6 linked regions of the Canis lupus familiaris genome follow. The protein of the gene in region 2 binds, or shares a complex with, the protein of the main gene of each other region. Links are inferred from orthologs where the notes say so. Each region holds a gene or a part of one and is shown on either strand. Other genes may lie near its edges. The genes, in order: DPF3, ARID1B, PHF10, DPF1, SMARCD1 and SMARCA2.

Evidence for each region.
Region 1: ARID1B (region 2) and DPF3 share a complex: the UniProt entries of both Homo sapiens proteins name them as parts of the neuron-specific chromatin remodeling complex. The link is inferred for Canis lupus familiaris from reciprocal best matches to the Homo sapiens genes ARID1B and DPF3.
Region 3: ARID1B (region 2) and PHF10 share a complex: the UniProt entries of both Homo sapiens proteins name them as parts of the neural progenitors-specific chromatin remodeling complex. The link is inferred for Canis lupus familiaris from reciprocal best matches to the Homo sapiens genes ARID1B and PHF10.
Region 4: ARID1B (region 2) and DPF1 share a complex: the UniProt entries of both Homo sapiens proteins name them as parts of the neuron-specific chromatin remodeling complex. The link is inferred for Canis lupus familiaris from reciprocal best matches to the Homo sapiens genes ARID1B and DPF1.
Region 5: ARID1B (region 2) and SMARCD1 share a complex: the UniProt entries of both Homo sapiens proteins name them as parts of the neuron-specific chromatin remodeling complex. The link is inferred for Canis lupus familiaris from reciprocal best matches to the Homo sapiens genes ARID1B and SMARCD1.
Region 6: ARID1B (region 2) and SMARCA2 share a complex: the UniProt entries of both Homo sapiens proteins name them as parts of the neuron-specific chromatin remodeling complex. The link is inferred for Canis lupus familiaris from reciprocal best matches to the Homo sapiens genes ARID1B and SMARCA2.

The regions. Positions count from the first base shown.
Region 1 is NC_049229.1:46,326,470-46,330,133, forward strand, and holds part of DPF3 (zinc finger protein DPF3), read right to left. Parts: intron 2,025-3,664; coding exon 1,943-2,024; intron 1,426-1,942; coding exon 1,355-1,425; 3' UTR 1-1,354. UniProt on the Homo sapiens protein: Belongs to the neuron-specific chromatin remodeling complex (nBAF complex).
Region 2 is NC_049222.1:46,851,326-46,855,532, forward strand, and holds the start of ARID1B (AT-rich interactive domain-containing protein 1B), read left to right. Parts: upstream 1-1,321; 5' UTR 1,322-1,336; coding exon 1,337-3,280; intron 3,281-4,207. UniProt on the Homo sapiens protein: Involved in transcriptional activation and repression of select genes by chromatin remodeling (alteration of DNA-nucleosome topology).
Region 3 is NC_049233.1:72,419,016-72,421,420, reverse strand, and holds the end of PHF10 (PHD finger protein 10), read left to right. Parts: intron 1-78; coding exon 79-187; intron 188-472; coding exon 473-661; intron 662-922; exon of another isoform or gene 923-1,709; coding exon 1,710-1,795; 3' UTR 1,796-1,905; downstream 1,906-2,405. UniProt on the Homo sapiens protein: Involved in transcription activity regulation by chromatin remodeling. Belongs to the neural progenitors-specific chromatin remodeling complex (npBAF complex) and is required for the proliferation of neural progenitors.
Region 4 is NC_049222.1:115,602,975-115,606,314, reverse strand, and holds part of DPF1 (zinc finger protein neuro-d4), read right to left. Parts: intron 3,123-3,340; coding exon 2,995-3,122; intron 2,739-2,994; coding exon 2,649-2,738; intron 2,249-2,648; coding exon 2,170-2,248; intron 1,956-2,169; coding exon 1,824-1,955; intron 929-1,823; coding exon 878-928; intron 786-877; coding exon 666-785; intron 1-665. UniProt on the Homo sapiens protein: May have an important role in developing neurons by participating in regulation of cell survival, possibly as a neurospecific transcription factor. Belongs to the neuron-specific chromatin remodeling complex (nBAF complex).
Region 5 is NC_049248.1:42,025,165-42,028,801, reverse strand, and holds the end of SMARCD1 (SWI/SNF-related matrix-associated actin-dependent regulator of chromatin subfamily D member 1), read right to left. Parts: intron 2,926-3,637; exon of another isoform or gene 2,509-2,925; coding exon 2,407-2,508; exon of another isoform or gene 2,285-2,406; intron 2,281-2,284; coding exon 2,227-2,280; 3' UTR 554-2,226; downstream 1-553. UniProt on the Homo sapiens protein: Involved in transcriptional activation and repression of select genes by chromatin remodeling (alteration of DNA-nucleosome topology).
Region 6 is NC_049222.1:91,388,969-91,393,359, reverse strand, and holds the start of SMARCA2 (probable global transcription activator SNF2L2), read right to left. Parts: upstream 2,878-4,391; 5' UTR 2,717-2,877; intron 1,988-2,716; exon of another isoform or gene 1,852-1,987; intron 964-1,851; exon of another isoform or gene 831-963; intron 246-830; exon of another isoform or gene 225-245; intron 1-224. UniProt on the Homo sapiens protein: ATPase involved in transcriptional activation and repression of select genes by chromatin remodeling (alteration of DNA-nucleosome topology).

The sequences.
Region 1 (3,664 bases), on a different chromosome or scaffold from region 2:
ATTGTGTGCTGCTGCCATTGCCACTGCCACCGAGATTCAAAGACAGCCCGGGCCGCTCCCGCCCTCGGGGCTGACTTCCAACGCAGACTTCTCGGAAGCTCAGCCTCCCACCTCTTTCTTCTCAAAACATCTTTGGAAAACAAGACTCCGGCACATAATTGGGGAGTTTGGGGGGTGGGGGGGGCAAGAGCAGCCCTCAAGCTGAGGATTCTGTACCGTTGCCACCGTGATCATAAATCACCCCATCACCCCGTTATTTGTTTAGGTGACAATCCTCTCTTCCCCGTCCTAAAATCTCCAGAGTCCGGTGTCAGTAGACAGTGGCAAACACACACCATGTAGAAGGAGAAATTACTTGGGAAAAGGAATTTGTGGTGCCAAAACAGTACTGAAGGGCTTTGCAGAGCTGCAGTCCTTTGTGCCGACATGCAGATTCCGGACTGCGCAGCCTTCACCCGCCTTCCCGGCTCTTGAGTCCCACCAGGGAAAGCTCCAGACCCGGGCTGGTTGGGAGGCAGAGCCTCAGCATCCTCCCCCGCCATAGGCTGTGGCTTGTCTCACCTCAAGGATGTCCCAGCTCCGAAGGTCAAGGAACCCCAAAAGCCTGACCCCTTGCAAAGCCACTCCCGATGGGTAACAACTACTGATCGGCTGTGGCAGGGCCTCTGAATTTTCTTCCCAATGTCTCTGCCCACCCCTCAGCACTTCTACTTCCCTCGCCAGCCCCATCAGGGGACCCCCCTGGCTGCAGACACCACTAGGTGTATCTGCAAGGGGTCCAGAAAACCGCTTTTCTTCTTCACAGAGACCAAGGAACAAAGAGGGATTTTCATCGTCAAGATGGCCTCCCGACTCCGAGTCTAGAAGTTTCCAGGGAGGCTGGTAATAAATAACAACTTCTCCACAGCCTTTTGTCCCTCTGCTGAGTTCAGGATAAAGAGCTGAAGCAGGAGGCGGGAGGCTGCGTGAAGATTTCTTGGAACACAATAGATAGAAAACACCAAACGACACGTGAGTGACTGATCGGTGGTCACAAAACAGCTTCCCTTAAAATGGGAACCAGGGCCGGGGTAAATGTGAGGGGGTTCCACAGGGCCGGGGCCAGGGGTGTTCTTCAAACGTGAAAGATCCTTCTGGTGGAAGCAAGGAGGGGCTGACAGAAGTACTGGAACCTGCGTGTAGGGGGTAAGCAGACACCTCACCCTCTCGGTTCCACATGTCCATGCCCTCCATGACCACGGGTGTTCCTTACAGTCGGTCTGTCTGGATAGATGGGAGTGGGGACTTGATCCGGTGTGAAGTGGGCTCTGCCTCAGCCTCTCCAGCAGCAGGTCACAGTCTGCGACCCGGGGCCCTAGGCTTGGCAGCCGAAGGCTGAGGCTTTTTCTTTGAGCAGTTCCCAGCACAGGTGGCAGCTCCAGCTTCCTACAAGAAACAAGATGCCCTAGTTACCAGCTGCCCTTCGCCCCACCCCTTGGCCCTCACTCCTGCAAGTGCCGTTTCTCCTTTGACTTTCACAGTTCAGAGACCGAGGCCCAGGCCTGAAAGTGGGCCAGAGTCTGTAACTCGTGGCAGAGGGTGAGCGCTCCTCAGAAAATAGTTAAGTGTTCAGAGGCGATCCACTGAACTGTTGTAAAGACCCCCACTGTCCTTGACAGCGATATAACTGGCAGCACTAGGCCTGGGCTGGTTCCCCTGGAAGCTGACACCTCCCCACCGCTTTGTCTGCATGACCAAGAAACATCTCCTTGGTCCTCAAGCTGAAATTTCAGAGGGTTGAACTGTGCCTCCATTTCCTCATCTGTAAAATGGTAGCATAGGGTTGTGATGATTGAATGAGACAAGACATGGAAAGGCCTTAGCACGAGACCTGAATGAGAGTGAGGGCTCCCTAAGTGATAGGGGTAGCTGTTGTTTCTACAGTCGACATCATCATCATTACCTTCTGGGGGCTCAGCCACTGGAGGATTTAAACAGTACATGTGATAGCCACGGTCACAGTCATCACAGAAGAGTAGCTGGTCCTGGTGGAATACAGAGTAGGTGGAGAGGAGGAGAGAGAGAATGAATTATTTAGGGCCAGTGTCTGGCCACCCCCTACTCCTCCAGCCTCTCCCATGCAGACCCACCTCCCTGAATGCTCCTTTCCAGGCCCCATTTGCAGTCTTCCCTGTCCCCTGAATATGCTTTGTGCTTTGCCCACACCTGCAAATTCCTGCTCTGTCTCCCTAACTATGCCAACCCTATCCCCACGTTAGGGTTCTGCTCAAATCATACCTCCTCCAAGAGGCCTTCCTTTACTGTCTCACATTCATGTTTAAAGAGATTCCTTACACTTCTGAACTCCCCTAACCAATAACTATGTTTCTGTAAGGGAGGAAAACCACTTTTATGCACTTCTGTGTTCCCCATAATGATTGCCTAGTGCATAGAAGGTACTTTAAATGTTTGCAAATTTTAACTGAATTCCTCCTAACCTCACCCTTTCCACCTGTGAAAAGGGCAATGGCTATACTTGACCGTAACATCTATGACACCTCAGAACCTCTTCAGGGTTTCATTATGCAAGTACAGAGAAATGGATGGGATGTGATGCCACCTTTCAGATCCCCAAAGCGTCCTCGGGGGCTGGAGGTTGAAGCCCAGGGGAGAATAGGACCCTCTAGCTCTGTGTTGAATGTTGCTCCTGCAGTTTGCACCTTCGCTCCTGCAGTTCCCTCTGCCTGGACGCTCTCCCAGTCCCTGACCCCTACTCTTCTAAACCATTCCCTACCCACCCTTCAAGTCTTCCAGCTCTTCTGTCCTACAGAAATGTCACTAATCTAGCTCAAATGGAAGTTCTCTCTCCCCCTTGCATCCCCATAGTCCTCTTTCTTTCTTATGACATTTAATTGCATTTTCCTTTATGCCTCAAAGCCTGGCATGTGGTAGATATCTACACACAATTGTTTTCTTGAATAGCTCCTTTGGAATATACTTTGTCTACTCCTTTACAGATTGTAAGGCTCTTGGGGCAGAACCTTGTCTTAACTCATCTCCACATCTCCTTCAGAACTTGCACACAGTAGCTACACGTTTGTGATCTGTTCCTCATTATCCAGGTTCAGCTCTCCTCTATTCTTTGGACCTACCTAGATGGCTTATAAGACTTTGCAAAACTAAGTTTTGCATCAAATCTCACCTTGGCTCCCCTCAGCACAGAAATCCTGGAAAAGGTAGATATTGAAGCAAGCAAGCAATAAGGCAGGAGATATCATGAAAGACTTTTTTTTTTTAATCACACTAACACCTTTCAACAGGGTAATGGAAGGTTTTTGAAGAGTTAGCAACAGAGGAGTGACTGGTCACACGTGGAATTTAGAAAGATCTCCCTAGCTGCTGTGTAAGAAGGAGCAGGTTGGGAGGAGACAGGTTGGTCCTAGAGGCTGGAAGACCACTTAGGATGCTACTACCACCATCCAGGTGAGCAGTGATAGTGTCCTAAACTAGGGCTGTGGCATGGGGAAAAGATAAGGGTCTTGTTCCCATTTGAAAGTCACTAATTAGATGTAGAAAATGATAGCAAAGAAATCAAGAATGTCCCCTAAGTTGTGGCTTGGTCAGCAAGCCAGATGATACAGCTACCCATTGAGATATGGGAAAAAGAGTAGATCTACAGGAGCCA
Region 2 (4,207 bases):
AGAGGGTTAATTGTGCACATTAACCTCTGAAATATGATGAAAGGCGTCGTACAGATTTATGAAGACACGAGATAAACTTCAGCTGTCCCTATTATGGCACCGATAGTTAAATTTCCATGTGCAAGCTGGAGCATAGCACACACCGGTCTACTTATTCGAAGACTTTCCCTTTAGAGAGAGGATAGAGAGAGACAAGCGCCTGTCGTTAAGAAAAATGCTCCTCTGGGAATACTTTTGCGTCTGTAGGCACTGCTAAGCCTACAGGCATACAGAAGGTGCCTGGAAAGAAGAGTTACGTAAACGTCCTCTTTGGGGCAGGTGCGGTCCGTCTCCGCACTTCCTGGGCGCTTGCTGTGTCCAGGACACGCACTCCCCGAACCCACGCGGCCGACCTTCCCCGAAACTCTTTCCTCCTCTCGCAAGTTTTGGAGAAGTTGTGGGAATTACACCGATGGCCCCAAATCGAGGCAGAGCGGCTAACGTTCTGGGGGAAAAAAAAAAAAAATTACATAACTCCTGGGAGAGGCAGTGCTGCTTTTTTTTTTTTTTTTTCCTTTTGCACGGATCGCCCAAACATTTTGCTCCTCCGAACCCCGGAGGCCAACCGACAACTTTGTCCCCCAGCCCTTCTCCCTCTTTTGTCTGCTCGTCAGACTCGTTTTCCACCTTTGTATCGTTCCTTTTAGACGTGAAAACAAACACGCGAACGGCCGGTTGGCAAGGAGACGGGGCGCGAGGGGAGAAAGCGCAGCCCGCCGCCGCCCCAGGCCGCCCCAGCCCAGCCCGCCCTGCCCAGCCCAGCCCTGCCCTGCCCTGCCCGGGGCGGCGGTGCGCGGGGCGCGGGGCGGCGGGCGGCGGGCGGCGGGGCGGCCGGGGGCCCGCGAGGCTGCGCCCGGCGGCGGCGGCGGCGGCGGCGGCGGCGGCGGCGGCGGGGGGCGGCCCGCGCCGAGTCCAGTCCGCGTTTTGCGAGTGCACGCGAGCAATCAGACAGAAGTGGATAATAGTTGCTCGGGCTCGCTCGGCTCCCTCGCATGCCGGCCTGGGCCCGACAGGCTCAGTCAGTCGTGTATTTACCCATATCCGGGTTAGAGAGGAAAAGAGAAAAGTTTCATTTAAACCTGAACTAAAAACTTTGACCATGAAATCACACAGCGGGAGCAGGCCCAGACCGTAAGGCGTGACGCCCGGTTCGGCTCCGGCGGGGCCTGCGGAGGGGGAGGGGGCCGCTCGCCTCCCGTCGGGGCGTGTGGATGCGCACAGGAGGGGCCGCCGACTAAAAAGTGGGTTTTATTGTCTCCCCCCGCCCCCCGCCCGGCCTCGCCACGCCGCGGCGATCATGGCCGCGCGGGCAGCAGCGGCGGCGGCGGCGGCGGCGGCGGCGGCGCGGGCGCGGACGGGCAGCGGCGAGCGGCGGGCGCCCCCCGGGCCGCGGCCGGCGCCCGGGGCCCGGGACCTGGAGGCGGGGGCGCGCGGCGCGGCGGCGGCGGCGGCGGCGGCGGCGGCGGCGGCACCGGGACCCATGCTGGGGGGCGGCGGCGACGGCGGCGGCCTGCATAGTGTGCACCACCACCCCCTGCACCCCCGTCACGACCTGAACATGGCCCATAACGCGAGCACGGCGGCCGCCGCCGCCAGCTCTCACAGCGCCAAGAGCGGCGGCTCCGAGGCGGCTCTCAAGGAGGGTGGAAGCGCCGCCGCGCTGTCCTCCTCCTCCTCCGCGGCGGCGGCGGCGGCGGCGGCGGCGGCGGCGGCGGCGTCCTCCTCTTCCTCCTCGTCGGGCCCGGGCTCGGCCATGGAGACGGGGCTGCTCCCCAACCACAAACTGAAAACCGTTGGCGAAGCCCCCGCCGCAGCGCCCCACCAGCAGCACCACCACCACCACCATGCCCACCACCACCACCACCATGCCCACCACCTCCACCACCACCACCACGCACTACAGCAGCAGCTAAACCAGTTCCAGCAGCAGCAGCAGCAGCAGCAACAGCAGCAGCAGCAACAGCAGCAGCAGCAGCAGCAGCAACATCCCATTTCCAACAACAACAGCCTCGGCGGCGCGGGCGGCGGCGCGGCTCAGCCCGGTCCCGACATGGAGCAGCCGCAACATGGAGGCGCCAAGGACAGTGCCGCGGGCAGCCAGGCCGACCCCCCGGGCCAGCCTCTGCTGAGCAAGCCGGGCGACGAGGACGACGCGCCGCCCAAGATGGGGGAGCCGGCGGGCGGCCGGTTCGAGCACCCGGGCCTGGGCGCCCTGGGCGCGCAGCAGCCGCCGATCGCCGTGCCCGGGGGCGGCGGCGGCGGCGGCGGCGGCGGCGGCGGCAGCGGCGGCGGCGGCGGCGGCGGCAGCGGCGGCGGCGGCGGTGGCGGCCCCGCGGCCGTCTCGGAGTTTAATAATTACTATGGCAGCGCTGCCCCTGCTAGCGGCGGCCCCGGCGGCCGCACTGGGCCTTGCTTTGATCAACATGGCGGACAACAAAGCCCCGGGATGGGGATGATGCATTCCGCCCCAGCCGCCGCCGGAGCCCCCAACAGCATGGACCCCCTGCAGAACTCCCACGAAGGGTACCCCAACAGCCAGTACAACCATTATCCGGGCTACAGCCGGCCCAGCGCGGGCGGCGGCGGCGGCGGCGGCGGAGGAGGAGGAGGAGGAGGCAGCGGAGGAGGAGGAGGAGGAGGAGGAGGAGGAGGAGGAGGAGGAGCAGGAGCGGGAGCTGTGGCGGCGGCGGCCGCGGCGGCGGCAGCAGCAGCAGGAGGCGGCGGCGGCGGCGGCGGCGGCGGCTATGGGGGCTCGTCCTCGGGGTACGGGGTGCTGAGCTCCCCCCGGCAGCAGGGCGGCGGCATGATGATGGGCCCCGGGGGCGGCGGGGCCGCGAGCCTCAGCAAGGCGGCCGCCGGCGCGGCGGCTGGGGGCTTCCAGCGCTTCGCCGGGCAGAACCAGCACCCGTCGGGGGCCACCCCGACCCTCAACCAGCTGCTCACCTCGCCCAGCCCCATGATGAGGAGCTACGGCGGCAGCTACCCCGACTACAGCAGCCCCAGCGCGCCGCCGCCGCCGCCGCCGTCGCAGCCCCAGTCCCAGGCGGCGGCGGCGGCGGCGGCGGCGGCGGCGGCGGCGGGGGCGGCGGCGGGCGGCCAGCAGGCGGCCGCGGGCATGGGCTTGGGCAAGGACATGGGCGCCCAGTACGCCGCTGCCAGCCCGGCCTGGGCGGCCGCGCAACAAAGGAGCCACCCGGCGATGAGCCCCGGCACCCCCGGCCCGGCCATGGGCAGATCCCAGGTAACCCCCGCGCCGGCCGGGCCTGCTTCCGCCGCGGCGGCCTCGCCGCGCGCCTCGAGCCCGACTTTCTTTCTTTCCGCGTACTTTTTCCGCGTCTTCTGCCGGGGGGGAGGCGGGGGCGAGGCGCCCAAAGCCATTTTAACTCGCGGCTGCCTCCCTCGGAGGCTGGGCGGCGCGCGGCGCCCGAGTGCGCGGCGCGGGGCCCGGGGGCCCGGGGGCCCGGGGAGAGGGTCGCGCCGAGGCCCGGGACGCCCGCCGGGACGCGCGGCCGCCCACCCCCCCCCCCCCCCGCCCCGGGCGCGGAGCCCCGCGCGGAGCCGTGCGCGGAGCCGGGGATTGCGCGCCCAGGACGCGGCGTGGGCGCCGGGGGCGGCCCGGGCGGCTTCGGTAACCAGATCGGCGCTCCCGGCCCGCCGGGTCGAGGGAGGAATATTGACCCCGTCTCCTCGGTGAGCGCCCACGACCAGCTTTAACTGGGAAAAGAACGAGGAACTTTGTCCTACCTCCAGCCACACCGCGTTCCCTCTTAACCTGCAAGGTGAAGGCAGAGGGGGGAGGAAAGAGAAAAAAAGAAAGAAAGAAAGAAAGAAAAAAAAAGGTTAGCTTTGTGGCCACCGAGGGTGTTTTTCGTAGTTGTGCCCGGCTATTCGGAGATACTCGATGCGAGCTTTGAGTTTGAGTGCTTCGTAGCAAAAATAACACCCCGGTTTACAACGACGTGGAGGTGAGAGAGGTTCTAAAATTAATCGATTCATTCCCGAGAATAGCCAGGAAATCCATTATTTTTGGCTTCCAGGCTGCTCGAAAGGAGTCACCTTCGACAGGATAGGCTGTGCTAATGGAACGCATTCCGGTTAAATGGGACTTATTTTGATCTCGGATCAGGCATACATTTTATTCGGCGAGTCCAGGAAAATAGCAGACCCG
Region 3 (2,405 bases), on a different chromosome or scaffold from region 2:
ATAAGGCAGTTACAATTCCTTATGAACCCATAGGAAGTTCTTCTGGCATGAATTTATAGCCCTCTTCTACCCTTCCAGCCAAAGGTCATTCCAAATGCTCTATGTGGAATTTGTCTGAAGGGTAAGGAGTCCAACAAGAAAGGGAAGGCTGAATCACTTATACACTGCTCCCAGTGTGATAACAGTGGTAAGTACTGACATGTCTTCTTAACATTTTAACCACCCTATTTGTTGCTTCAGAAACCAGGATTTCTAGTTGTCAGCTAGACCTGAGTCAAAGAATCATCAAATATATAGGGTGACCTATGAGGCATAGAAAAGCAGCCCGTGTATTCTCTACTTTGTATTGTCATTTCTTTGGTGATTAAACATTGTAGCCATTCTCAAGAACTCCCGAAGCAAATTAGCATTTGATTATGCCATAGTAAGTGCAAAATTCTTACGTGAAATACTAATGCTGGTTTTGGTTTAGGCCATCCTTCTTGCCTGGATATGACAATGGAGCTTGTTTCTATGATTAAGACCTACCCATGGCAATGTATGGAGTGTAAAACTTGCATTATATGTGGACAGCCCCACCACGAAGAAGAAATGATGTTCTGTGATGTGTGTGACAGAGGTTATCATACTTTTTGTGTGGGCCTTGGTGCTATTCCATCAGGTAAAGACTGAAAAAAAGGAGGAACGTTATCTCTGAGTGAAGGGACTCTCCCAGCCTTTTTTTCTTAAAGGCTCACATAAACACCATAAAGATCCTTCTGTTCACAAGAAGTGACCAGAGCTGTGGTTACCCAGAAAATGTCCACCTGCTTTTCATCCCTAGGTAACCCAACTGAATCACAAGTGGGATGTAAGTGTTAGAGGTACAGCTTAATACATAGAGAACTCATGTCTTTCTACTGGAAGAACTAAAGAGCATCAGTTTGTTTCAAAGCCTTGATTTTATTTTTATGTCATCTATTCAGAAACTTAACAAAATGACTGCTATGCCTTTATAAATATTAAACCAGATTTCTATAAAATGAGACAGCATGACAATTCCAGATAACTTTGGAATGAACAGAGTCGAATAAATCACAGTAATTGGACTAAAATATTACACATAATTGTGTAAATTTAGAACTTATTTGCATAGTTAACACTGTATAATACTTTATAAAATGTATGCCTAGAACTAAGTTTCCTGGGAATCATTAAGAAGCAGGCAACTTGAAGTTCTGTAGTAACTCAGATGGAGTACATGGTGCAGTTTATCAGTGATTAAGTTTAAAGTGCTGAGTCTGGTACACCGGCCTTGGGAGGAAGTTTAGACTCGCACTTGCCACTGAGCAGCAGGGAAACGGCTGAAAGTGAGCCAAACTCTGTAACAAGTTTTATATCAGGATTTGTATTATTGAACTCAAAGTGTGGTAGTGTTTGGGTTATAGAAAGGATGGTAGTTTTCAAAGGTCCCCATCATTACACACAATTACCTCCTGCCCCCTCCACTTGCATTGAATTTCACATGGTATTGATTACACTGATTATTTTAAGGGAGTTTATTTTTCTCCTTAAAAATTATTAGAACTCCTTATTAGAACTAAGTGCCCTTCACAACACAAATCCACAGAGAAATTACTAGCGATAGCTAAAGGAGAGCCAAATGGGTTTAAAATTCAGTCCTAAAGAATTAAATTTCATAGTATATTAACTAACAATTTTTCTCCTAGGTCGCTGGATTTGTGACTGTTGTCAGCGAGCCCCCCCAACTCCCAGGAAAGTGGGCAGAAGGGGGAAAAACAGCAAAGAGGGATAAGATAAAATAGCTTTCTGACCCCAATATTGTAATATGGATATAAATGAAATATTTGGTGCCAATTTATTTACATTCTCAATTTTATGCCAATAAAAGATTTCTGAAATTAACTATGTGCTTAAAATCTGCTACTTTATTTATTATAAGCTACTTTTACCTTCGAAACCAATTTTAGATAGAGAAATCATAGTTCATTTTCCCAAAGTTTTTTTTAAATCTTTAGTACTTTGGCTCTATTCAGAAATTCAGTGGAAATATTACGTAATCGAAATACTCAACTATTCCTTCATTGACCAGAAAGTGAATAGTAGTTGCATGAAATTTTCCTAATCTATATGGTCTCTGGCCTACCACTGGCAGCATAACAAAGTTATTTAATGATGGAAGAATTTTAACTAATAGGTAGGCCAGGATGATAAATAACAAACGATCTGATGAGAGTTGGTGCAGCTGGGTTTCCTGTCTGGACAGGGGCGCCCACTCCACCTGGGGGCAGGCCCAGCGCTTTAGCCCCGCAGCCACGCAAAAGCGCAAAAATGTACGTTTCAGGCTTGATTTCAGCAGCAGCTTCAAAGTCCTAAACACATTGTAACTTCATTCAGAAACTCTA
Region 4 (3,340 bases), about 69 Mb from region 2:
GCCGCGATGCCATGGCAACTGCCTGGCACAGGGGGGCCCCACACCCTGGGTTCCCTGCAGCCCGAGCCCCATTACCCGGGATACCCTGGCCGCCAAACTGCTTGTGACAATACCGTGCGATGCCAACCCGCTGGCCGTCCCGCTACCCCAGCGCAGAGACCCCCCCGTTGGCCACTACCCCGGTGCCACAACAGCTACCCAGTCGCCATGACAACCACATCGCACTACCCGTAATACCATGACAACCACAATTCATTACCCACTGTGCTGAGACAACCACAGTCTATTACCTACAAGTCCACCCTGGGAAACCACATTCTATTAACCACAAGTCCACGGCAAGCGCCGTCGGTTATCCACAGGACCCCGACAGTGGCCATCCATGACTCATTATCACAGTCCACTCCCCACGATGCCGGGGCAACCATCCTTCACCACTCCTCGTGCCATGATAAGCACAGGCCACCACCACCAATGCCATGACAACCACATCCCAGAGCCTCTCTGACCCCTCTGGGTTTCCCACAGTCCTCAGCAGTGGAATCCGTTGCGCCACCCCTGGGTTCCCCCCACCAGGCCGCGCCTCTCCACCTCCCATCCTCCAGATCTAGATTCCTGGTGTGCCCTCCACCCAGGCCCCCGGCAACCTCGGGTGGGGGTATCACCTGATCGCCCACAGTCAGCACAGGAGATGAGGTCCTCGGGACACCCAGTCTTCTTGGAGCCACCCAGACAGAAGTCACAGTAGCCGTTGGGGATGACAGTGCCATCAGGTGCCTTCTTGGCTGAAAGACAGCAGGCAGGGGTTGCCACAGGCAGCCAGGGACACCTAGTCAGAGGCTGCTGGGGAAATAGGGGCAGAGGGAGGCATCCCTACCTGTGTGTTTCCTCTGTGCCTCAGGGACCCAGGCCAATTCTTTGTAAAACTCTGGGGTTGGGGGGACAGAGAGAGGGACTCTCACCACAGGCAAGGCTCCACCCTGCCCCCAGCCTCAGCCCCAAGGGTGGACCCCTTTTTCCAGGCCCGGAGGGAGGTAAGGAGACAGAGTAGCTCCCCTGAGCTGCGGCCAGTAGCAGAACAGAACTGGGGACCCAAATAACTCTCATCAGGAGCCCCAGACTCTCTGAGGACAACCCACACATCCTCTTTATTAGGTAAAATTGCAAATAACAGCTTTAGGAAGAGCCCCCTGCTTCCCCATTCATACACACTTCTACCAGACAACCAGTGCCAGCTAAGCGCCCGACTAGATAAAAACTGGGGACGCCACTCGCCAAGATCTGATATGGAAACAGACGGACATTCACAAGAAAAATCCTGAACACGGAGGTGCCCGGGTGTGTAGAGGGGACGGGATGAAGAGACTGCCCTCTCCCACCAAGAGATGGGTGGGAAGACAGTCCCTCCACCGGCAGAGCCTCCCCAAGCCCTCCCCCACCCCTCGGCTGTCAGGGCTGGCACGGGATTGGCATGGGCAGGCGCCAAGGGCTCCCAGGCCACAGACCCTGCCCCTCAGCCAAAGCTTCGCGGAGAAGGGAGAGAGGGAGGCAGGGAGGGAGGGGAGTCATCTATCACCCCCCTCCCCAAGCTCTAATTGAAACAATAAATCAGACCCAGAAATATTATGCCCGGCCGGGAGCGAGAGGGAGAGATGGTTGGTTGCCATGGCAACCCCAGAGCCAGCATCCCCTTGGTCGGTGGGGGGAGGGGACCGCTGAGCTGGAGATTTTCCAGAAATGTCTAATGTGCCCCCTCCCTCCCCGGCTCCTCAGCCCCCACTCCCCGGGTCCCTCACTACCCCACAGCCCGCCTGCCTGCTCACGTTTATGGTTGTTTTTCCGGTGGAAGGGCAGGGCGTGGCGCTCCGCGTTCTCCTCCCCCTCCTCCTCAGCCAGGTGGGTGTGGGTGTAGTGGTAGCTGAGCCCTGGCCGGTTCTTATACCGTTTCCCACAGACTGGAGGGCGAGCAGGGAGGGGGGCGGGTCAGCCCTCCCAGCCGGGCGGCCTCCACCCTGGGCGGCCTCCACCCTGGCCTCGGGGTCACACCTCCCCCCTCTGCCAGAGGCCTGAGCGCCCCGCCCACCGGGCTCTAGAACAGGAGGGAGGGGGCCAGCAGGGGGGAGGTCTCTAGGCCCCACTCTCTCTCTCCCCCTCTTCAGAAGGACTCACTATCACAGACATACGGCTTGTCTCGGTCCTCGAGGGAAGCGGTGTCCTGGCGTTTCCGGAGACCCCCGATGCCGTATGCCTGCGGGGGAAGGGGGGGGGTGAGCGGCCAAGAAACGGAGGGAACCGGAAGGGCTTTCACCTCGTGGGCCTGAAAGGTGACCCGCAGCTCTGCCACTTCCTAACTGTGGGCCTCCACCGAGAGGTTCAGCTTCCTCGCGTGTAGCGTGGGTATAAGGCGGCTCTCAGCCACTGGACAATCTCTGTTTTGCAAACGGTATAATGATATCTGAGCCTCGGTTTGCTCATCTGTAAAATGGGTATAAGATCCTCTACGAACCCCCTTCCCACCCCCACCCCGTCAGGCTTCTCTGGGGATTAAATAGGGTCAAACTGGGGCAAGGCCGGACCATTGTGTGTGCCCAGTACACTGGCTCTGCCACGGAGGGGTGGGGCGATGGAGAAAAGTTGAGAGGTAATACCTTTCCTTTGGCCCTGTTCTTCCTCCTGGGAATGTCATCCTCCAAGTCTTCCACCTCAAGATCATGTGGAAACTCCAGCAGCTGCTGTTTCTGGGCACCAGGAGAAGGGGGATCGAGGTCAAGAAAATGGGGGGGATGCTGTCCTGCTCTGGGGAAGTTCTGGACACCGCTGGAGATGGGGGGGAGGAGGGCAAGTCAAGAGGGGCTTCTAAAAAGAGACAGGGTGTGGGAGGATGGAGATCCAGGGTGCCCCAAGGCCCGGGGAGACTGCAGAGCAGGAACAGGATGTGCCAGGGCGGGTGGCAGGGATGAGAAGGCAGCTCAGGCCCCTGAGGGGTGGTCCCACCTGGCAGTCCATAATGGTCTCCTCCTCCTTCAACTCAATCTTCTTCTCCCCTGTCTCCGCACACAGTAGCGCCTCAAGGACTGGCCCTTCTGGGAGGCCGCCCTCCTTCTTCAGGGGTGCCTCACAGTCTGCAGACAAGGGTGGGGTCAGGGGGGTATGTTGTCCCTGGAGGATTCCTCAAACAGCCCGGGTCAGGGAACCATGCCCTTTGCTTCAGGACAGAGGCTTTCCCACACTCGACCGGCAACAAGACTCAAAGACTCAATCATACATACTGGGAAGGATGCCGAGACCCTGAGAAAGACACAGCCAGACCCTCAGATCCACTCAGACACACTCAGAAGGA
Region 5 (3,637 bases), on a different chromosome or scaffold from region 2:
GGCTGTACTTGGACAGCACAGCCCTCCCATGCTGCTCGGAAGAACTGAAATCTCACTAGGGCCCTAGAGTGGAGCCTTAAGGGAACAGCAGGCAGAGGCACACAGAGGTCCTCAGCTAGGACCTGGCTGGATAGGGGCCCAAGAGGACCTGCCCCCAAGGTGGCTCAGGATCAGCAAGCCTACGGCGCCTGCGCACACCACGGGGAGAAGATAAGATGGCAGTGGCACGGCCTTGGTAGTACCTCCCTACCTAGAGCCCGGGGCGGGACTCTCAGATCCACGGAGGAAGCCCAATGATCCCAACCAGTACCCAGCCTGCTCAGACCAGCCTGCTCAGCCAGCGGGCTGACAGAGCAAGCTCTGGAGAACCTGAGGTCCACAGCGCAGAAACCTCGTTTTCCACCGTATCCCTAGTGCCTAGTACCGCAGCTGGCACACAGCAGGTGCTCAGTCAATATTTGTTAAATAAAATGAACAAACACCATGAGTGTGGCTAATGGTATTGGAGAAAGAGCTCGGGGAAAAGCTCTCCCTCAGTAGGTAGGGGGACCCATCCTTCAGAAGATTCTTTTATTAAAACTGGGTGACATCGATAAGGGGACAGTACAAAAAAAATTTTGGTCCATGAAAAAAACATAATAATTCCGTTAATAAAAAGTTATCTTCAACAGGGACACTATGTAGGAGTGCTGAACTTCCTTCTCCTGGTTCCAGCCCCAAGGACAGAGGTTGTCCAGTGTCTGTGGGGAGAACCTCTTAAGGGAGGGATGGGACAATGGTCAGAAGGGGAAGATGGAGAGAAAATTCTGTCCCCGGTGTGGAACAGGCAGGGTTATGGGGCTGGAGGATGTGCTCGCAGGAGCCTGAGGAGGGGGTGGGGAAGCAGGGGCTTTGTCAGTTCTGTGGGTTTAGAGCCCAGGCTGAACGGAGTCCCCCTCTGTGCCCAGCTGTCTCCCACCCTGCTATGTTGAGTCTGCGAGCCTGGGGTATGCTAACTTGGGGTGATACAACCTGGAAGAAGAATCTGAGGCTCTCCTGGAAAGATGCAAAACCATCTCAGTTCCAAGGGGCCAAGATCACAAGGTCCTGCTGCTACCTGAGGGGTCTGAAGCTTTGAGGGCAGGGGCTGGGGAGTCACAATCCTGTGAGGCAGGGAGAGGGAAGAGTCACAAACCCAACTCAGAGCTATTCGCCAGCCCTAGGCGCTTTCACTCCTCAGTGCCCTAGAAGTCACCAGTGGGTGTCAACTGGGCAGACAAGGGACAGGAAGACAGGGATGGCCCAGGGCTTTTACCCGTTTGATTTCAGGCCTGTTTCTCCACGAAGGGGTGGGGGTGGGGGGGCAGGGTGGAGTGAATAAATGAGTCACACCTCCAAGCAACAGCAGGAAGGAATAGCCTCTGCTGGCAATGACAATACCCCAGGTTAGATCCCTGGGGCTCTGACAGGGAAAGGCAAGATTCCCCCACCCAAATGCCCTGCGTTAGGACAGATAGATAGCAGGGGAGCCTAAAAAGAGCAGCTACAGGGAGTGTGCTGGGAAGGAGCAACAGTTAAAGAACAAACTCCAATACTGATGTGGACCCCCTACGAGGGAGTAAGAGAAGCACTGAGACAGCAGGCCAATCCAGAGGGCTGCGGACTGACCTGGGGCTCAGTGGGGCCCAAGAACCGGGGTTCCTTTAGTGCTAGAGGGCAAGAAGTAAAGGGAGAGTGTGCTCCAAACCTGTGGAGGGAAGGAAGGAAATTGGATTCTGTTATCCAGAGAGCCAAGATCAACTAGCTTATAGAGTGCCCCCAGGCCTGAGTCTCAGAGAAGGGACTAAAGCTCCCAACTCCTGGGTCTCTGAAGGGCAGGATCAGTGTAGCTGGTCCCCTTGAAGACCACCTGGCCTTAGGCCCAATCCATTCAATGCACTGGTTACCACTACAGGTTCTCTCTCTAACGCTACCTAGAGGTCCTATGTAGACCAGGGGAGGGTAGAGGCACATGGGAACTTTGTGGGGCAAAGGGAAGCTGGGGGACAGGAAGGGATGGGGTGGGAGAAGAGGGTGACAGGTGTCTTATGAGACAGAAATGTGAGACCCTCTTCTTTCTGATGTTGTCCTTGAACCAACAGCATCCCCTGGGAGGCCCCAAGCAAGGCCAAGGCAGGTGCTATGAGGCAGGTAGCACAGGGCCCAAATAAGAATCGATGGAGCCAGCTCAGCACTGTGGGAGAGGCCCTATGTATTTCGGATTCCCAGGGCTTGCTCTAATTCTTGTCGTCTCTGCTGCACCTAGAGAGAAAACAGTGGAGGGAGCAGAAGATGAGACAAGCCAGAAGCTGGCACCTCATACTACTGACATCCATCAGGGGTTCAGATCCCTGCCTTTTTGTCTATTTCCCACACCCAGGCACCTACCTTGGAGTAGAAGTATCGGCACACGGCCTCCTGAGCCCAAGGCTGGAAGTAAAACTCAGCTCGGCGTTCTTCCTCTGGGTTACCCACCACATCGGTCATGGTCTGGGGGACAGGGAAGGGGGGAGAAAGAGGAGAAGGACTTGTTTCCCTCCTTCATACCTGTTATGGATGAATTGTATCCCCCCAAAAGACGACAAAATCCTAACCCCCCAGTACCTGTGAATGTGACCTTATTTGGAAATAGGGTCTCTGCAGATGATCAAGTTAAGATGAGGTCATTAGGGTGGGCCTAATCCAACAGGACTGGTGTCCTTATAAAAAGGGGGAACTTGGACACAGAGACAGACATGCACAGAGGGAAGATGATGTGAAGACACCTGGAGAACACCATCTGCAAACCAAGGAATGCCTGAGGCTATCGCAAGCTGGGAGAGGGGCCTGGAAACACATTCTCCCTCCCAACACCCTGACTTCAGACTTCCAGCCTCCAGATAAAAATAAATTTCTCTTGTTAAGGCACTCAGTTCGTGGTACTTTACTACGGCAGCCCTCGCAAACTACTAACACAACGACCAAAGTCACCCCCTGCTATTAATGAGTCATTGCTCTCTTCTGGGATCCTTTCTGGCACCCCTTGTCCTGTGTTCCTCTGCTCAGCCTCCGTAATTACAGTCACCACAGGACAGGAGAAAACTGAGGGCACGTTTCACTCTTTCGGTACTCACTCCCACCTCCTTGCCTGAGCTTATGGTGCTCTCCTCTCTGAGGATTACCGCAAATCCGAAATTTGCCATGGAGCGTTCCCCGGCTATTCCAGCCTCACCCATCTCCGTCTTTGAATTATGTCTTTGGTAGTGGTGAGTTCCGATAATGTCTTACATACTTTACAACTTTTTTTTTTTTTTTTTTTTTTTGCTTTACAACTTTTTAAATTGTATCAGTCGGTTCCCTTCCCTCTAAAAGAAAATAACCTGGTCTGAAACAATCCTTTATTTTTTGCTAGTAACCTCCTTGCTATCAAAACTTTCCATTCTGTGCAAGTCCTCAGAATGCCTATTTACTAGAAGGGATGCTGCCCAGTTCATGAATCATTGAATAAAACCAATTAGATCTTCACATTTTAAATAAATAAATAAATGCATTAATCCTATGAGCCTAGTTTCTCCAAACAGAACGCAAGCTGCTTTGAAAGCAGAGATCCAGTTTTCCACTCTGCATCCCCTCCGATACG
Region 6 (4,391 bases), about 45 Mb from region 2:
CGGCGGCGGCGGCGGCGGCGGCGGCGGCGGGCGAGGCCTCCTGCTTCCCCGTCGCGGGGCTGCCCGCTGCAAAGTTTCCACGCGATCGATCGCAGGGCGAGGAGCCCGCTGCCCCCGCCGGCCTGACTTTGCAGGAAAGGCGAGCCGGGAGCCCGGCGGGGGCCGGCAGGGAGAGCGCTGGCAAGCTCCGCGCTCGGCGGGCGGCGCCGGCGCAGGCTCCTTACCTGGGGGACGCGGAACAAAAAGAGGCGCGGGGCTCGCTGAGCCTGCGGCGGCCGCACGGCCCGAGGGGGCTCCCGGCCCGAGCCCTAGGCCCGCGCCCGAGCCCGCGGCCCGGCCCCCGCCGCCGCCGCCGCCGCCGCCGCCGCCGCCGCCGCTTCCTCCCTCGCGCGCGTCATGTCACGGCGATCAAACATGTCTGTGTGCGCTTCGCCGCTGTGACTTCCTGATTCTCTGCCGCTCGCGCGCGCACACTCACACTCACACTCGCAGGCACACGCGCACGCCACCCCCGCCCGCCCCCGCCGCCGAACCTCGCCTGGCGCTCCCCGGGCTCCCCGCGGCCGCCCGCGCCCCTACCCGCGACGGGGGCACCGGCCCGGCCCCGCGCGCAGCACACACGCACACTCACGCGCAGACACACTCGGCCGGCCCCGAGGGCGCGGAGGCGCGAGCCGCGGGAGCTCGCCGCCCCCTCCCACCCCCTCCCTACTTAGCCGCCCTGCCAAACTTTTTTTTTTTTTTTTTTTTTCCTGCCTGATCCACGTCCAACTTCCCTCCCTCCCCACCCCAGCCCCCACCCCCAGCAGGCCGGCCTGCCCTGCGCTCACCAGGATCCGCCGCAAAGCTGCAACCCGGATAAAAATAATAATGCAATCCAGGCGGCGGAGGCAGGGGCGCGCGCGAAGACGCTGGCAGGAGGCGATTTCCCCGCGTGTACCGGAAACCGGCCGGGCGCCGGGGCCAGGGCACGGGTGTCCCCGGGAGCCCGCACTGCTGCGCCCCGCCCCGCGCGCTGCAACTGCGCCCAGGCTGCGAGGCCTGGTGCGGGGCACCCGGAGCACCGGGCTCGGGGTGCGCCCGCAGCCGGAGGGCGCCTGGGGACGGGCACGCCGGACCGGTTATTTGGGGAAGTGCATCGCGACACCTTTGCAGATGGCATGGCCCTGTTTTGCAACGCAAACGGGAGGAGGGAAGACGGCCGGATGGAGGGGGAGAGCAGAGGAAGGGGTAAATCAGGTTGGGATGGGAATAAAGCAAACTCGAAAGCAGGGAGCGAGAAGGAAGGGGTGCGTGTCATCGTGGGGAGGAGGCTCCCACCCGGTCTCCCCGCCTCCCGCCCTCCCCACCCCCGCCCTCCTCCTCCCCCCACCCCCCACCCCCCACCCCCTCGCAGCCCTTCCCCTTCTCCGGCGAACGCCACCACTGCTGGCCGGGTGCGCGCGGGTCCTGTTTGTGACAGTCAGGCAGAGAGGATTATCCGGATCATGGCCTCCCGGCCCGCGGCCGCCGTGGCTCTCCCGGGCCCCGGCGAGCCCCTAGCACCCCGACGATCGCGGGCGACCCACGCCCGAGGTTCCCGCGGCTCAGGCTGGGGGGAAAGACGCCGAGCCAACGAAAACAAACCCGGGGAAGGGGGAGGGCAGCGCAACCGAGCCCGGCGGGCACCTCCGACCTCCTTCCCTGGGGCCTCCTCCCTCCCCGCCGGCGGCGCGGCCCGGGCCGGACACCCCGAACTTCAACAGCCGAGCCCGCGCGGCCGCCAGGTACCAGGTACCAGAGGCGGGCACGTCCGCAGAGCCCCGGGCGCAGCGCCCCGGGAACCCCTCTGCCTAAAAAGGGCCTGCCTACCGGTCAGCGTCCTCCTCCCCGCCCGAGGGAACGCGCAAAGTGGAGGTGACACCTCCGATCCTGCACGCACCGGCCCCGCGGCGGTGGCTGCCGCCTCCCGGGCGCGCCAGCCTCGGCTCCTCCCGCCGCGATCGGCTCGCGTCTCGGCAACCGGAGCCCTTTAAACAAGTCCCCGGGAGGCGGGTGGCAGCCGCGATCGTTGGCGCCCCGCCGCCAGCCCGGGCTCCTCGCCCTCCTCTCCCGCGCCCCTTCCAACTCTTCCGGGGAGGACGGCTCGGGGTGAACTGTCGCCTTTCCATCCTCCTCCCGGGTCCTCCAGCCGGCGCCCTACCCCAGCCTCGAGGGGATGGGGGGGGGGGGATTGCAACCTTGCGGAGTGTGTGTGTGTGTGTGTGTGTGTGTGTGTGTGTTGCAACCTTGAGTTGGCAGCGAGCGCATCGCTGACTGCCTACCTGGGGTCAAGGCTGTGCTGTGTCGGGATCCCCCCCACCCGCCCCTCGCCTCCCCGAAGTAGTAATTATTACTGTTATTATTAGAACAGCAAGGTTCGGTTGAAACTTTCCCGTTTCTTCCACGGCCGCCCGGGAGCTGTCGTTAGAGCATTCCACCTGAGGCCCGCGGGGAGGAGGCGGGCTTTTTTGTTGTGGTGGTGGTGGTGGCGGTGGCGGCGGTTGGCCCGCCTGTTTGTTTTGGTCTCCGTGCATGCACAATAAATAATAATTAGGATAATAATGAAGACTCCCCGGCGAAGGCGGCGCGGTGCCGGAGGGGTTTGCGCGGCGGCTGCAGCCCCGGAGGCCGGAGGGAGGGAGGGATGGGCGGGGGGGGGGGGGGAGAGGAGAAAGGAGTTGTAAGTTATATTTACCTTGCTCGCGAGGAGTATGCTGGCTGAATCTCTTCCCTCTCTGAGTCACCCAGAGTACAGAAACAGAGGGAGAGAGGACTAGATTATGAATATGACTTCATTGATGACAGCCATCCCCTCCTCTTCCTAAAGTCGGGCTCCGCCCCGCGTCCCACCCTCGCCGCCTCCACGGGCGCCGGAAGACGCGCCGCAGTTGGCCCCGCGCGCCGCTCCTCCCTGCCCGCCCGGGCGCGGGTTGGCGGGACGCGCCTGTCACTCGGCCCGCTCAGCGACTCCGGGAGCTCGGGGCGGGGGGGGCGGAGGAGGGGGCGGTGTGCAAGAATGTGCACCGAGACGGCTCTACTGTATGCGTGGATCCGTGTGTGTGTGTGTGTGTGTGTGTGTGTGTGTGTGTGTGTCTGCGCGGCGCCGGCTCCCGGGCCGTGCTGGTGCCTGGAGCGGAGAAACTGCGCAGGACGCAGAGCTCGCCGCGAGCCCCGCAGGACTTGGGCGTCCGACATCCCTCTCCCGGCGGTCGACCTCGGGGCGGGAGGGGGGAGCTTTGGAAGGGACGTCGCCGGGCGCCCCCCACCCCCGCCCCGCCACCCCGACGCGCGGTGGGGGGTGGGGAGGGCGGCCGTAGTAATAGCGCGTAGTAGTTTGGGGGTAGGTGGAGAAGGTGCTGGAATTTAACTGTGCCTCCGCCTGCCGGAGCGCGCCTGCAGAGGGAAGAGGGGAGGGGACCGGGGGAGGGCTCCGAGTGGCACCGGAGCTGTTAGTGCACTGCACAGTGTGGACCGTGAAAGAAAAAGAAGAAGAAGAGAAAAAAAAAAAAAAAAAAAAAGCAGGCATTGTCGTGCCGGCTGAAACTTTTTCTACGCCACCCCCCTCCCCGTTACCTCCCCCCCCCACCCAAGGTTGTAATTATAAATCTGTCCCCTTTCTCCCCCGTAAAAAAGGGAGGCGGGCACAAAGAACATTCCTGCCAAATCTGTCTCTTTTCTAAAGGACGGCAAGCTTCCAAATGCCAACGAGGGAAAAACAGCTGAGAGGCTGAATGCCTTGTAAATAAATAAGCCCACCCTAACCCCTCTGTTTACTTTGCGGACCAGATGCGGCACGTGAAGCTTCCCTCACCTGTCATCTTCGAATAAAATGCATACAAGGAAGACATAGATAGGGAAAAACAACCCCGTGGGGGCGGGGCGAGCGGGTGAGGGGACAGCTGAAGCGTGGAATCTGCTTTTGATTTAAGAAAGGGACTAAATCTCTTATCCTGGGCAGCCCACAGTCTGTCCTCTCCCACCTCACGTTGCAGACCGATTAAGGCTACAAACAGTAAACTGCTGGCACTTGGCAGTTTGGAGACCTCTTGTTCCAATTCTCCTTGAAATACAGTTCTTTGGCTGGCGGAATAGGTCAGTGTTTGCTGAGACGAATTTTATTTTTAGTTTTATGAAGTGTGAAAGAATGTTAGGAGATTTTAAATCAGGGGCCTATTATTTCAGACTCAGATTAATGTAAGTGCTTGACTCTTAAAATTAAAACTGTTCCTATATGGTAGTGTTATGAAAAGAATGATGTATCCTTTATTTTGTAATGTAATGGCTTCAATTAGTCATTCAAAGTGCACCGTGACTCTCTAGTGGAGGATTTTCCCCCTAGAGTAAAATCCTATTTTAAGACCATTTTGCAG